Rattus norvegicus: one gene and its partner. The protein of the gene in region 1 purifies or fractionates together with the protein of each later gene. This does not show direct contact. Links are inferred from orthologs where the notes say so. Each region holds a gene or a part of one and is shown on either strand. Other genes may lie near its edges. The genes, in order: Pidd1 and Casp2.

Region 1 (4,498 bases):
GCCCATCACTTAGACTGTAGAACATGTCTATTCATTTCCAGTCCACCAGCTCCACTGAGGAGGATTCTGGGTGTTGGCTTCAGTATTCACCAACTAAAGGACTTAGGCAAGATCTCTTATCGAAACTTTTGTTTTTTGTTCTTGTGAGATCCACACAAGTCAGGGAGGAAAGGCCAATAAACTCACCAACTAGGCAGTTGGCCCACAGTGATGTTCAGTGGGAAAGCATCTGAACTCGGAAAGCTGGAGTTAACTGCAAAGCCTGAGAGGCAAGTCCTCGACTCTGGTTCTCAACCTTCTTAATGCTTTGACAGTTCTCACATTTCGTGACCCCAACCATGAAAGTATTCTCGATGCTACTTCATAACTAATTTTGCTACTGTTATAAATTGTAGTGTAAATATCTTTTGGAGATATAAGTTTGGCAGAGGGGTCACGACCTACAAGTTGAGAACTACTTTCCTAGAGTGGTTCCCCCAGGAAGTCCTTGGTACCGGCTAAACGTCCGTCCGGCATTCAAAGTTCTAGCTTCTGGCAAGGAGTGTGACAATACCCTAAGTTATCCCTCAAATTACTGTCTTAGAATGCACTTGGGGACCAGACTATGCAGTGCCATCACAGGTCTGGAAGGGCTGCAGAGATCTGAAAGTGTGAGTTTCCCTGCAGGTCACCTGACTCCCTGGTGCAGAAAACCGAAAAGGAAATGGCAGTAAGAGTTCGGGAAAACTCCTACTGGCTGGCCTGGAGAGGCGGAGCCGGAGGGGCCGCCCGCCCGGAAGCGCGCCGGCGGGAAGACAGTGTGGAGCGCGCCTAGACTGGCGGGGAGATCGGCGTGGCAGGTACTCAATGGGAGGCGGGAAGTTTGTTCCAGAGGCGGGACCAAAGCGACTCCACACCTACTGAGACCCTCTCTGCGTTCCCCATTTGACAGAGGTGTGAATTGGGAATTGTGGCTCAAGTGCTTCTGCTAGAGATCGCGATTTGAGATCCTAGCTCAAGAACCGCAAAGTCCTCTTGGTTCCCCTTCGCACTGTTTACTGACCCTCTCGGGCACAGTGACGCCTGCAGTGGAGGAGGGTCATGGGTTTTCCCCAAACATTTGGGTATGAAGGTAAAAAGTGGGTCCCTATTACAAGAGTCCTGTAGGTGGGGTCAGCGGTCACATGGTCAGATTCCAGAATTGAGGTAGGAAACAATTCTTATCCTTGGTCTAGCAGGATTCTCCAAGCTATGCTGTTCACAGAGTCACCCTGTCTGGTGCCCTTCCCAGGCAGAAGAATCCAGCCCAGATGCAAGCCCTAGGGCTGCAGTGACCACTCCACTCTGCCCCTCTCGTGCCCTGGGTTCTCGGGCTGGTGGTTTTAAGAGCTCCCCGGTTTCCAAACAGTTATTTTTTGCTCTGACCTGGAAGAGGAGCCTGTCTCCTACAGCCTACTCCTCCCCCTGCTTCTCCAGCTTCCATCAGCCTTGCCTAGGCAGGCTTGCTTGACAAGCTAGGACATGTCTGGTCCCCGAGGACCTTCTGTGGGTGATGGCTGCAGTGTTGGAGGGGCCGAAGCCAGAGGAAACTGCAGCTGCTGCAGAGGATGCTGCAAGACCCACAGTGGAGGCTGTGGCTTCCAGGCCCGGAGTACCTATTCTCCTGGCTGGGAACCAGTTGAATCTGGACCTACGCCCTGGGGGCTGCCGTCGGCTGCAGTACCTGTGTTCCCAGCAGCACACACAGCTGCTGCAAGTGGAGTTTTTGCGGCTCAGCACCCACGAGGACCCTCGACTGCTAGATGACACCCTAGCCAAGGTTCCGTGGAGTCTACTGCGCCTTCGCTCCCTGGTCCTCAAAGGTGAGTACCCTTGCTCCTGACCCTGTCCTCATCTCTGTCCCAGCTTTGACTCGACATCTTGGTCACAAAGGCCATCCTTGTCCCAGCCCTAGCTCCAGACCTCTCTTTTCCCTGCACCTCAGGTGTGAACCCCTACGCTAGAACTATTCCTTAGCCTTAGCCCTGTCACCTTCCTCCCCACAGTGAGGCTTGCTAGGCCCTGACTCCTGAGCCTAGAACCCTGTAGGTGTCCAGTTGGGTCTCTGCAGATCCCAGTTTTTCTGGAGTGATACTGTCAGCTTATATGATCTGGTGTCTTCTCTGTCTGCTTTTCTGTCTTTCTCTGTACCTCTGGCTGGCTTAAAAGGCAGGCTTTCTCTGACAGGGCTGAATGGAGGGTACTTCATCCCGAGGGCTATAGTTGTCTTTCCCACTTCCAGGTGGCCAGAGTCGGGGTGCCCTGGGTGCTTGCCTCCATGGTACCCTAACCACTCTGCCTGCTAGCATGAGAGACTTAGCCTGCCTGGCCCACCTAGACCTGAGCTTCAACAGGCTGGAGACACTGCCGACCTGTGTCCTGGAACTGCACAGCTTGGATGCCTTGCTGCTTTCTCACAACTGTCTCTCAGAGCTGCCAGAGGCCCTGGGGGCACTGCCTACCCTCACCTTCCTCACTGTGACACACAACCTCCTGGAAAGACTACCCCCAACACTGGGGTCCCTGTCCACCCTTCAGCGTCTTGATCTCTCCGAGAACCTTCTAGACACCATCCCGTCTGAGATTGGAGACCTGAGCAGCCTCAGGGAGCTCAATCTGGCCTCCAACCGGCTGCAGCATCTCCCAGCTTCCCTTGGTGAGTAGCCATGGCCTCAGCTTTTTTATTACCAGCCAGTTTCGAGCAATCCTCAGCTACTCTCCAGAGCTCCACTCCCACATGGCCCCATGCTACCTAAAATCTTTGGACTCTGGCCCCCTCCCTCCTCTTCCACAGAGGCCCCTGTGTGCTGTGCCTGGCCCCTTTCCTTCTACCTCCTTGGTTGCCTATAATTCACATGTGACATTGAAGCCTTTAGTTTGAGTGTCTTGTCAAGGTGACCAGGGCCACCATGAGTAACCCTAAGCCAGCACTTGCCTACAGCGGGGCTGCGGTCCCTGCGGCTCCTTGTTCTGCACAGCAACCTCTTGACCTCGGTGCCCCCTGGCTTGGCCCACCTGCCACTGATCACTCGGCTTGACCTGAGGGACAACCAGCTCAGAGACCTACCTGCCGAGCTACTAGACGCTCCCTTTGTGCGCCTGCAGGGGAACCCTCTGGGCGAGGCCTCTCCTGCACCCCCAAGTCCCCCAGGTAAGCTTGGCATGGGGCACGGCCAGGCTATAAGAGGGGAAAGGCACATCATCATTCTGACCATATGCCTGTCCCTTGTGCAGACATTTCCCAGGTTCCAGAAATGCCCAGGCTATTCCTGACCTCAGACTTGGACAGGTATTGGTGAGAATGTGGCTAGAACACATCTGTCTACCCTGCTTCTCAGGCCACACTGGGGTACCTCATCTTTCAGCCCTCATACCTCTTTTCTTACCCAGCTTCCTTGTGACTCCCCATGGCTGTTCTGTGACCCTGGCCTGTGGTGTCCGCCTACAGTTCCCAGCAGGAGCCACCACCACACCTATCACCATCCACTATCGACTGTGGTTGCCTGAGCCAGGCCTAGTCTCTCTGGGACCTCATGACTTCCTGCTTAGTGGTGTCCTGGAGCTGCAGCCTCATGGGGTGGCTTTCCAGCAGGCATGTACAGGATAGGTAGGGGGCAGGTATGGTGGCTGAAGCCTGGCCCTGTCTCACATACTACTGTTGCCTGACAGAATGTGAGCTTATGGCTGCTCTTTGTCCCCCCACGAGTCCGAGTCCGTCGTTGCCGTGAGGTAGTTGTGAGAACACGGAGTGACAACATCTGGAATGACCTAGAGACCCACCTGGAGGAAGAGGCCCCCAAGGTGACAGCTGCCAGGCCCTAGGGCATAGGGGAGAACAGCTGATCCTGACACCACCCAACCCGCCCACTGTCTCCTGCCCTGACCTTATCTTCCCTTATGTTCCAGAGGCGTTGGGCTCGCTGCCAGGTGCCCCACTTCTCCTGGTTCCTGGTCGTTTTACGCCCAGTATCCAACACCTGCCTATTACCACCAGAGGGAGCACTTCTGTGCTCCTCAGGTCATCCTGGGGTCAAAGTCACTTTTCCCCCTGGGGTCACAGAAGAGCCCCGGCAAGTCTCCATGCAGGTATTGGGCAGGGCAAGGGTGGCAGGAGGTGCGTCAGCGTACAAGAGGGCACTGAAATGGTTCTCCATCCAGGTAGTGCATATGGCTGGACTAGAGCTGAGAGCCCTTCTGGAAGAGTCAGAGGCGGCAGTGAGCCCCTTGCTGTGCCTTTCCCAGAGCGGACCCCCCAGCTTCCTACAACCTGTCACTGTGCAGTTGCCCTTGCCCCCCGGTGTTACAGGTGAAGCTGCATGCCACAGGAACAAAGGTGGATGCTCAGAAGGGGAGACAACATTTAGGGGGGCTTTAACCTTCTGCCATTTCCTGTCCAGGCTTCAGTCTGGACCGCTCCCACTTACATCTGCTCTACCGAACACCCCTGACAAGCACCTGGGATGACATCAGCACTCAGGTG
Region 2 (4,344 bases), on another chromosome or scaffold:
GCAGTATCATAATATCCCCAGGAATTGAGGGGGCACAGCCTAGCCAACCAGAGAGGCCTGACACAGGCAGTCAGAAAAGGCGAGTGGGCTCAGAGGGGACAATGACGCCCAGAGGAAACCCTGGAAGAGCTCTTCGACTTAGGGGTCCACGAGTTGTGTCCACTGCTCCTGATCTGCAAAGCTTGAGGGTGGCCCCAAAACTGGAGCCTAATACTCCACCCCCTGCCTATGAAATCGGTTTTGCTCACCCTGATGATGACAGTGTTTTCTATGAAGATAAATGGATACTTCCCTAAGCGATGCTCTCAGAACCTATCACCTGTGAACTCATTTGCCCAGCATTTCCTAATATCTATTGAATCAGAAGTTGGTTTTGCCCAAACATCACAATTGATGCCTTCAAAGCAGTGGGGAGTTGGGCTCCGGAATGTCCTTCACAGTCGAGATATAAATGGCATACCTGGATTCTTCTGGAAACATTCTGGAGCCTACCTGACGAGCAGTACTTCCAGCGTAAGGTGGAAGAAGAGAGAGATAAGTTACCAAGAGAAGCTGGAGGGGTACCTCGGAGTGACAGTTGTGTTTCTTCTACTGCAGACACCAAGTCTCGCTGAGATTCCTGATGGGGATGAGAGATTCTAAGGGTGAGGGGAGCTGAAAAGTTTGCGCAAGAACGGGATGCTAGTAAAAACATAAAAATAACTCGAATCGAATCCCAATTCCAGTGCCTATTGTTTTCAATACCAACCAGGCAATCCGCATTACTGGGGACAACTGGTAGATAAGAGAAGTCTAAATAGAGACAGAATGAGAGGAAACAGGGTAGGAGAAGCGCGACCTGAAGCGCCCCCAGCCTGGGAGAAGAGCGCCTCCTAGTGCTTTCCATTTTTCTTGCACCCTGGCCCTGGAAGTTCAAGGCGAGCAAGGATAACAAGAGAAGCCCAGCCCCTTTGGTTTCCTGGTAGTTGAGGCCGGAGGGACCGGAGGAACCAGGGGAGGGAGCTGCGGTTTCCGCGGGAATCGCTAGCCAATCAGATCCCCGAGTGGGAGAAACCTTGTTCTTTTCCCGCCTCTTCCCGTTCTTCCTAGAGTCTACTCTCTTCCCATTGGGCTGTGCGAGCCTCAGCGACAAGTGTGCGCTTGCGCATGTCCGGGCGTGGGTGGGGCTTGCTGACTCGGGGCGGGGCCGTGCGCAGGCGCGGCGCTGGCGGGGGCTGGGGGAGGGATGCGGGGGCTGGCGCGGCCCGTTTGTTTGTTTTGTGGGTGGTGCGGGTGCAGCCCGGGAAAAGCTGGAAATGGCGGCGTCGAGCGGGAGGTCTCAGTCTTCCCTGCACAGGAAGGGGCTGATGGCGGCTGACAGGAGGAGCAGGTGAGGAGGGCAGAGTCGGGGAGGCTGCCGAGCGAGCGGCGCGCCTTCTTGGCCTGGTCCCGCGTGTGCAGAAGCTGTAGCAGCCTCCCTTTCTTTGTCCAGCGCAGAGGAATCTATACGAGAATGGATCTTATCAGTCCTGCCACATGTCGCCTGCGGCATCTCACCTTTTCCAGAGATGCTCTGTCCTTTTCCTTCCAATTCTTATCTGAGGACTTAAACTCATGTCTCTTTAAAAAGCAGAGACTGTGCAGACTTCGCGGCTTGGCCTCGAGCGCATTTGATTAGGATTGACTATATCATGTCCTGGACTGCTTTTCCATATAATAAATGTTTGTCAGAGAATTCCACACAGGTTTGGGGGATTTGAATCTTTTGAGAGGATTAGATGGTTCCCGTTTCTCCGTCTCACTCAGTCAGTTTCGATGAAAACATTTGCACAGGACGACACAATTTAATATTTCCTGTCCAATCCTCTAACATTAATTTAGAAACGGGAGCCATTAAAGGACATGAAATCAAGACGTTAGAACCCTCTTGGTATTCTTTTTCTCCATTCTGTTTTCCTTGGGTGTCCGAAAATTCCAGGTGACTGGAAACTTCGAGAAAGTTCGTATTTAAGCTTCTCCTGGTAGTTTGAAATAAAAGGAAGTAGCAGGTGCGGGGAGTAGGTGGTGCTTCAGATAAAACATCGATGACTGCTTCGTTCAAAATTCAAGCCTGGGACATAAGAGGATTTAGAATAGAATCAGTAAATTGTGCCTGGGGATGAAATTGTCTAGAGAAGATGCCCGCCCCCTCCTGTTTTTTGCAAGGGAGTTCTAGTGCAATGTCAGCATTTAAAAGCTACCGGGCTGTAATCCTAGTATCCTGATGCCTGAGGCAAGAGGATCAGAAACTCAAGACCAGTTTGGTCTCCTGGCCTAGTCCTGTCAAAGAGAATGAGGTGGTGGAGGAGAAGTCAGATGCTCACTAGGAAACCGGAGCACGGTGAGCAGAGTGAACCTGGAGAGACTAGTAGAGTGAAAGTCAAGGGAATGGAGCCTTTTAAGCAACGATGTCCCTAATGAAATAAGTCTGCTATATCATGCATCGTGTACCTAAGGATATACCCAACTAACAGCTGCAAGAAGATTAATTTTGTCTTCGCCAGATTCTATATTTAACATCATTACTGTGTTGTCTTGTATGGTGATTTTTAACTGAGATTTTAAATTCATGTAGAGCAGATTCTAGTGAATTTTGAAATAGCTGGTACAGTCTGAATACTTACTCTGCCTGGATACCTCTTGTTCATGCATTTTTCCCAGGACCCTATTTTGCTATCTAACTTTCCACAGAAAGGACTTAAAGGAGCCTTTGTGAGAGGGGCATTTGACCAGAGCATGGTTTTTCAGCGATGGAAGATGCTTCTTTGTTCCCCTATATTTTACCCACATTGAAATCAGGATTCTTGGTGTATAAAGTGAACTGTTATACTATCTATCACTCTATTGTCATCAGACCCTAAGCATTGTCTCATACTAAATAAACTGGAGATCAGAGTGTGTGTGCGTGTGTGTGACATACACACACGCACACACATGCATGCACACACAAACACTGGGCACATATAGGGTATTTATTGGAAATGGGATTCTTTTATTCATGAGCATAAGCAGGTCTCTTCAAATTTGAGAGAAAAACTAGGGAACCTTTCAAATACATTTGTTGCTGGAAACTAAATTACCAAAATAATTTAACCATTGCTTGCACTATTCTTGTGATTACAAGTGACACCATGTTCACCATTGGTATCTGCCTCCTATGGCTTTCACTCAGTTTCTACTTACCCCATGCCTTGTAGGATTTTGATCACTTTTTAGTATTAGTTTATCATAAAAAGGTAAAATGTTTTTGATATAATTTATGTGGGCAGTCTAGAGCAAGTGTGCGGGTGTGTCTGAAAAATATGGGTGTCAGCTTTAGGCTTTTATTACTTCATTCCTATGTTAAGATCATTTTCAACTTAGGTTAGTTTTCTAAGATAAAAAGTATGTCATGTTTTCTGAACACTGAAGCTTGTCTATCAGAGGAGTGTTTCTTTACATTAGTTTGACCAAGATAGCTCTTTGCTCTCCTCATGAGATCATTATCTCAGATAGTCTGATGTAAACATTCTCTAGAGGGTTATACCTTATTTGCTTAATAAGTAATAGGTCAGCCTATTACTGCTTAGTACATTTCTATTTTAAGAGATTTAACAAAATATGCCTTATCTTGCTTATTGTTTTTTTTACTCACTTCTTTTCTCCTCTTGTGTGTTCGGGCTCATACTTGAAAGTCCCTGTGTCTGCCTTTTTCTCTGTAGGATTTTGGCAGTGTGTGGAATGCATCCTGACCATCAGGAAACTCTGAAAAAGAATCGAGTGGTGCTGGCCAAACAGCTGCTGCTGAGCGAACTGTTAGAACATCTCCTAGAAAAGGACATTATCACTTTGGAAATGAGGGAGCTAATCCAGGTATCTGGGGAGAAAGGCTCCAAGAAGAGAAACTGGTCTTAGGCAAGAAAGACTTTGAAAAGGGTATGCTAAGGAAGAGGAATGCCCTTCTCAGCCTTGAGTTTGTTTGATAGAAAATCTCACCCGTGTATTCGCACTCTATAAACAGGAATTCCCAAGATGAATGAGAACACTACTTAGGAAGCTCATGTGGAAAAATAGCATTGTGGCTAAATAAATAAATGTAATTCAGTATTTTATTCCTGTGCCTTAGGCCAAAGGGGGCAGTTTCAGCCAGAATGTGGAACTCCTCAACCTGCTGCCAAAGAGAGGACCCCAGGCTTTTGATGCCTTCTGTGAAGCCCTGCGGGAGACCAGGCAGGGTCACTTGGAAGACTTACTGCTCACAACCCTCTCTGATATCCAGCACATACTCCCACCGGTATGAAGCCCTAGGACTGTAGCCTGGGATGGGTTAGTTTGTCCAGAAAATAT

Evidence for each region.
Region 2: the proteins of Pidd1 (region 1) and Casp2 purify together in Homo sapiens (affinity purification with western blotting; 5 studies listed by BioGRID and IntAct, with this or other methods). This does not show direct contact. The link is inferred for Rattus norvegicus from reciprocal best matches to the Homo sapiens genes PIDD1 and CASP2.

Annotation. Positions count from the first base shown.
Region 1 is NC_086019.1:205,968,556-205,973,053, reverse strand, and holds the start of Pidd1 (p53-induced death domain-containing protein 1), read left to right. Parts: upstream 1-1,453; 5' UTR 1,454-1,531; coding exon 1,532-1,841; intron 1,842-2,260; coding exon 2,261-2,674; intron 2,675-2,946; exon of another isoform or gene 2,947-2,959; coding exon 2,960-3,169; intron 3,170-3,252; coding exon 3,253-3,307; intron 3,308-3,408; coding exon 3,409-3,610; intron 3,611-3,687; coding exon 3,688-3,819; intron 3,820-3,924; coding exon 3,925-4,104; intron 4,105-4,176; coding exon 4,177-4,324; intron 4,325-4,415; coding exon 4,416-4,498. UniProt on the Homo sapiens protein: Component of the DNA damage/stress response pathway that functions downstream of p53/TP53 and can either promote cell survival or apoptosis.
Region 2 is NC_086022.1:72,115,068-72,119,411, forward strand, and holds the start of Casp2 (caspase-2), read left to right. Parts: upstream 1-1,289; 5' UTR 1,290-1,295; coding exon 1,296-1,369; intron 1,370-3,719; coding exon 3,720-3,870; intron 3,871-4,123; coding exon 4,124-4,291; intron 4,292-4,344. Other genes in the region: Tmem139 (transmembrane protein 139), read left to right, coding at 1-296. UniProt on the Homo sapiens protein: Is a regulator of the cascade of caspases responsible for apoptosis execution. Might function by either activating some proteins required for cell death or inactivating proteins necessary for cell survival.